Canis lupus familiaris: one gene and its partner. The protein of the gene in region 1 interacts with the protein of each later gene in a pairwise test. Links are inferred from orthologs where the notes say so. Each region holds a gene or a part of one and is shown on either strand. Other genes may lie near its edges.

Region 1 (2,821 bases):
AATGACATTGGTTTCTGTTTTTACAACTGAGGACAAGTTTTCAAGGTAGATTGATTAGAAGTGCATCCTGGCCTTGATGATGACATGCAGAATGGTAGATAATTATAAAATGTTGCATGTTTGAGGACCTACGCATAAGTCAGAATTGCAGAAGTTTAGTTTGGCAACATTGAGAAAGGGATGAAGCCAGAGAGATGGCATGGAGGAACACAATGAGGGAAAACAATGTCATGGTCAGGGGTTTGCAATTTTATAGGAATAAGAGCATAGGAACCCATCAAAGGCTTTCGTAGCAGGGGAACAGAATTCAGTTTGCAATGAGAAAGGACATTTTGGTGGAAGTATGTTTATTGGATGGGAGAGAAAAGGAAAATGTTCCTAATCTTGCCTTCTTAAAGTTACTTCCACCAAGGGCTTTTGGGGTGTCTTAAGTATGTAGGATCAGAGATCTAGAAAGAAGTTTGAGGAATAAACCACTAAGCCATTCCCCTACTGTCAGACAAGAACATATGGTTGCATATCCCATGTCTTATTCATGCGCACAGTTGAGGTTGGTCATTTCTGTGTTCAAATGAAATAATGAAAGACAAACTGAAGAACCAGATTCTTAATTCTGACTTAATCTCATTTATTGCAACATGAACCAAATAAATTCTTCCCACACCTGAGTGACAATGAACAGCATTGTAAATCAAATAATTTTATGCCAAAGAGCGATAAAAAGAAAAGATAAAAATATGAAAGGAGGAGCACAAATTACGTCAGGCAGAGTAAAAAGCAAGAAAGGGCACTACTAGGAAAGAAGCAAAAGTCCACAGTTTGAATTTTTTGTCCCAGATCCTTAGCATGATTATTAACTGGAACAAGGAAGCCACTGCCCTCCCAGAGCAGAGCAAGATGGACGGCAAGTGCTGTACACATGGTTCAGAGGTTGGGATCCACTGAAGACAGGACGCAGAGGTCTGAGGCTGCTGGGTACAATGCTCAGTGTTTGAGGACCACAGGGCAAAGAACCCAAGGGGCGGCATCCATAAGTGAAGAGGCTCAGGGGTCGGCCACTGTTGGACACACAGGTCAGAGGTCTAAAGGATACGGGGAGGCAGGAGCCAGAGACGTAGGAAACAGCAGGAAGAAAAGTGGTTCCTTGGCAGGGTCTGGACACGTAGTAAGTAGTAGAAGGGTAGCAAGATGTTTCACAGTTGTTGGGCTCACAGTGGCCTGGCTGACAGCTGGTTGATTCACTGCAGGTCTCCTGGCAGTTGTCCAGAGGCTGGGGATGGTCTTGACAGTTAGTAGGCAAGCAGACGACATCACCACAGCTCACATGGGTAGAGCAGAGGGCCACGGAGGAGGTGAGAGGAATATGGCAGGGATTTCTGAGAGATCCCAAGCTGTAGTTGGCAGAGCAGTTGTGGCAAGACATAGTGAGGTTTCAAAAGCAGGCTCTCGTTGAATGGAAAGAAGTGAGTGTCCCCCCTCATTTAACTTGATCCCTTATATATCCCTGGAAGGTGGTGATTGGGAACGCAGACTCTCTTCCTCCTTGTTGTAGGAAGCTGCATCAGCACTCTCTATTATAGCCCTGAAAGGGGAGCTCCCACCTCCCATAAACCTGGATGTTCCTTCTATGGATTAAGTATATCTATAAAGAAGTGTGACTGAATTTTAATAGGATCTCTCCTTAAAATATCCAATCAAAACAGGTATGTCTGAAGGTCATTCATGTAATCCAAGTATAACCACCACTATGTAAACGTTCTTAGAATTCCTGTCTTGGAATTCCCTTTAAAAGTTGTAGCAAAACTCTCCGGGAGAAAAAAAAAAAAAAAGGCGTAGCAAAATTCTTTGAAACAGTGGCAAATTCTTTCTCTTTGAGGGGAAATTCTATTCTTTTTGGAAATCGCCAATAGTAAGAAACTTGAATACAAGTATTTTGTAAAAGGATGTGGAAAATCTATAACCTAAAGATGTGGAAGATCTATAACCTAAATGATTTGGGGCAGAAAAAGTTTAAAAGCGGTATAACACAGAAAATGTCAATGTGCCTAAATTTATGCTTTGCTTTATTTTTAGAATCCTGGTGGAAATGGCTTCCTACCAAAATATTTTTATTTTAAAAAGCGATACTCATTTTATGCATTTCAATAAACAGAGTCATGCTGAAAAGCTTGGTTTATGTTTAAAGTATTCTTACTATAGAAAAATAAGATGATTTCAGTTGAAAATATAAATACTACTGTGAACAACAGCAAGTAAACAACACCCCTCAAAGAAAGTTGAACAGCATGACATTTTTTTTTAATAGTTAGTATAGGTTTATATATTTCATGCTTACTCATGTTCCTAACAAAAACTAATGTTCTTGATAGAATAAAAAAAGAAGAAAGAAATGATGATTAGGACCTGGAAATGGGTTTGGTTTTGCTTCTTACATTGGTTCTGATGTCAATTTCCAAAAAAAAATAGCTTCTAAACTGCTTTACATGGGAAATAACATCATATATATATATGAAATCATCATATATATAGCATTAGTGCTTTCAAGGCTATTTGGGAATATATTTTCCTGTAAAAATTGGTTTAAAAATGCTTCATTGTATTTAGCTTCATCCATTCCACTGTATTTTTATATATCAACATATCTAGTGGCTCTAGTGACTACTTTAACAGGAATTTTAATTGCCTTGCTTGATCTACTTTCCAATTCCCTTTAGCTAAAAATTCAATGTAAATCACAATTTCTTCCATTTTAATGTTCAATGGATACACCCACACTTAATAAGTCTCCCTCCATCCAGGAGGAGCCAAATCTCTGAAACAG
Region 2 (3,650 bases), on another chromosome or scaffold:
AAAAAAAAAAAAAAAAAAAAAAAAAAAAAATGCTCACGGAGTCTTCGAGTGCCCCCTGGGGGTGGAAAGTGGTACTGCCTCTGTTCAGAATCACACATTCCAGGTGCTTCTGGAGAAGGAACCCCTGGTCCAGAGGAGGGAGAGGGCCTGCCCCAGAAAGCAGAAATGTATACCTATTCCTTTCTGTGCACTAGGCCCATAACCAGGCACTTCACACGTGCTAAGGCCTGCTTCGCATCGGCCAGCAGGGCAGACGCTCTGGTTATCTAGGACAAGGGAACCGGCGGCAGAGCAGATAGGGATCAGTCCAGGCTCCCACAGCTGACAAAAGGCCGAGGAAGAAGGCTCTGAAGCCATCCTCTCAAGAAGAAGGCCTACTGTGGGGTCACAGGGCTCTGACTTTGACTTCTTCCTCTCTCCAGGTGAACCCCGTGAACACCACTACCTTCCCTTTAGCCATGGGCTCTGAGCTGCACCTGTCCCTTTAGTGCCAACCCCCCCCCCCCCCCACCACCAGCCCTGAATGTGTTTCTGCTGCCTCTGGCAACCCAGGGACCTGCTGTCCTCCCCACACCTGGCACCTCTCTCACCTCACCCAGCTCTGCTGGGTCTGGCCCAGCCTGAAGCCCTCCTGCATCTTCCCTCAGGATAAAAGTTAAATCTTTTTAGTAAGATACCTTCAGGGCTCTTCAGGATTCAGTCCATCTAAGATCACTGCTATTACTACATTACACGTACATTCCTTTCCCCACAAGTTCCTCTCTACAAGGAGATGGTTCTTGGCCTGTCTTCCCCAGAATGGTAGCCCCACTCTGCTCCTTTAGGACCCTCAGGGGGCACTCACCATAGGGGCTCCGCGGTGGCCAATGAGGGCAGGCTTGGGGCCCAGGTCCTTTTTCTCCATGATGCAGGGAGAGGAGATGGTGAGAGGGGCCAGGTAGAAGGCAAACACCACGGCAAAGAAGATACAGAGAATGGCCATCTGGGAGGCTGCAGACACCGACTGTGAGTGAGGCTGCCTGGGGAGCTATTTGGCTCCCACAAGGCCCACCCATGAACCCTGGGCAGGTTGGAGGTGAGGGGGGTGGGCAGAAAAATCCACCTGTCAGGACCCAGATACCGAGGTGACCCTGCTCCACAGGCAGCCCCCATTCTTGCTGGGATGGCGAGCTTGACTTCTAACACACACAGACAGGCAGAGGAGGGAACACTCGGGGCTGACCAAGGTTGCAGCCCTAGGTGGAACTTGTCGTCCACTCTGAACCAGAACCCCTGCACTGAGAGTGACACCTTATCCCCAGGCTCCCTAGGTGATGTTCATGTGAGGGCAGGGCAAGCTGGTTTTGGTACTCAGAAGGCAGTCATACTTACAGGACCGTTCTGCACGGGCGAACTGTCCGGCCACGATCCAGGAGAGCGCAGTGATGGCAGCTAGGGCCCCCACATGCAGGAATGGTGCCGTGCCCTGGTGTGTGGGAAGGGGCAAGAGGGACCATTGGCTCCCAGCTATGCCCAGACTCTATCTGTGGGTCAGGCAACTCTATCTCCATTTTTCAGTGGAGGAAACTCTGGGTGCAGAAACCCTGAGCCGTAGCCTAGCCCCCTCCCTGCTCTGACTTGCTGTGTGGCCTAGGCCACTCCCTGCCTCCTCTGGGCCTTTGGAGAGACATAAGTGATAAAAAGGGACTGCCTTGTTTGGAAGGTCCCAAGGAAGGAGCTGTCCATAACCCCCCTCACCAACCCCACCGTCCCCCCCTCACTGCCCCCCACTACCCCTTCACCACCCCTCACCATCCCCACTCACTGCCCCCCACTACCCCCTCACCACCCCTCACCATCCCTCACTGTCCTCCCTCACTACCCCCCATTACCCCCTAACTACCCCCCACCATCCCCCACCATCTCTTATCGCCCCCCCCACACTCACCTGCAGGGAGATCAGCAGTACCTCCCACTCGTCCTTCCACAGCTGGGCTACGGCTGACATGGCCACCACTGTGGACACCAGGATGACCACCAGCCCCATCTGGAAGGGGAAGTATCCCCCAACAGAGGGTCAGAGCCAGTGTGCCTGGACAGCCTGAGCATCCCCAGTGTGTGTGTGTGGGGGGGGGGGGCAGGCAGTGGGAGAGCCTGAGAGGTCACAGAGAGGAATGGAGAGTGCAAGAGAGACCCACAGAGCAGGGAGGCACGACTATAAGGGAGCCATAAGTGACAGAGGCAGGAGAAGGCAGGGGGACCTCAAGAGAATATGGAAGGGAGGCTGGAGAGGAGAGAAGATGGGAGGCAGCTGGCGGGGAGGTGAGGCACAGCCCAGGGTTCAGCCCCACTGAGGGTGTGAGAAGACACTCGGCCAGTGGGACCTCTGCCGGCCCCAGCCTGTCACGTCCAAGGCCTCTCCTGGCACTGCCAGCACCCCTTGGGGTGAAGGGTGACTTGTCCAGACCATGGGGGCAGGAGGCTGAGAAGCCGGGTCCCCTGCAAGAGCTGATACCCCCTGGGGGGTATCAAGCAGACGTGAGGCAGGGTTCTGCCCCCAACCCCCTGCCCGGCCCCACCGCCAAGGCTTGCTCCCAGCCCCGGCCTCTGAGCTTCCAGCTTCTGTGTTGGTGGGGGCTGCCCTCTGAGCTGCCTCCCGGAGAAGGTGAGGAGCATAACCCTGAGGGAAGAGGAGACAACCTCCACAGGTCAGCGAGCTCTGCGGACAGATGGGATCTGAAACATCTCCTGCAATGCAAGATGCTTCCCCAAACCAAGTGAAGCCTGGTTTCTGACTACTCGGCCCCCAGCCCCCCTCTCAGTCCAGCCACTTTCCCCCCACTGCCAAGCCTGGCAACTTAAAGCTCAGGTCACACCTCTACCTCCAACCCCCCACCCCCATAATCAGCCCGTAGCGCCACCATGGCCTGCCCTGCTGCTGCTGCAAGCTCTCCCCACTGCCCCCACCCCTTCCTGCAGTGCCTTTTCTGGAGGCAGCAGCCTCCAGCTTCTGAGAGCCCTCCACTAACAGAAGGAGCTTGGATGGTAAGGGCAGAGACAGTGGTTGATCCATCTTTGTTCCCTGCCAGGCAGGGAAGATTCATTCCTGCCTGGGATTAAGTTTTCCTTTGGAGGTTTGTCATTCCAGCCCATCAGCCCAGAAACAAATGTTCCAATAAGAAACAGTAATAAGGCTGAGACGAGTAGGGGCCTTTATGGGCTGTAACATACTGGCCCGGGGGACGCGGGTAAGGGAGAGGCAGGTACACAGAGGGCCCATGTGCCCGGGGCCAGGGGAGGGATGTCCTGTTTTCCTCATGTTTTTTCTTGTCATGTCCCAGGTGAGGTCATTATCACCTTGGGTTTACAGATGGGGAAACTGGTGGGCATAAGGGTTTGCTTGCCCTGTAGCTTTGAGGGGGCAGATCCAGAAACAAACTCCATCCTGCCTGTCTCAGGGGTCGTGCTCTTTCTGGGCTTTCATGCTGCAGTAGACGGGGAGGCCAAGGAGTGTGCTCACCGTCCCTGAGAATCCCCCCCCCCCTCAATACCCAGGCTCCCTGCCCCTCTGCTGCCCCTTCAGGCAGGCCCTGGGCGCTGCCAATGTCTCTGAAGGGTTGTTTCCGCAGTATTCCTACATTTAACTGATAGTGAAAAGACTGATTTCCCAT

Evidence for each region. The genes of interacting proteins can lie anywhere in the genome.
Region 2: the proteins of KRTAP26-1 (region 1) and GDPD5 interact in a two-hybrid assay, tested with the Homo sapiens proteins (2 studies listed by BioGRID and IntAct). The two-hybrid records come from large-scale screens. The link is inferred for Canis lupus familiaris from reciprocal best matches to the Homo sapiens genes KRTAP26-1 and GDPD5.

The regions. Positions count from the first base shown.
Region 1 is NC_049252.1:25,722,894-25,725,714, forward strand, and holds KRTAP26-1 (keratin-associated protein 26-1), read right to left. Parts: upstream 1,450-2,821; 5' UTR 1,424-1,449; coding exon 854-1,423; 3' UTR 640-853; downstream 1-639. UniProt on the Homo sapiens protein: In the hair cortex, hair keratin intermediate filaments are embedded in an interfilamentous matrix, consisting of hair keratin-associated proteins (KRTAP), which are essential for the formation of a rigid and resistant hair shaft through their extensive disulfide bond cross-linking with abundant cysteine residues of hair keratins.
Region 2 is NC_049242.1:23,254,146-23,257,795, reverse strand, and holds part of GDPD5 (glycerophosphodiester phosphodiesterase domain-containing protein 5), read right to left. Parts: intron 2,027-3,650; coding exon 1,928-2,026; intron 1,466-1,927; coding exon 1,372-1,465; intron 991-1,371; coding exon 845-990; intron 1-844. UniProt on the Homo sapiens protein: Glycerophosphodiester phosphodiesterase that promotes neurite formation and drives spinal motor neuron differentiation.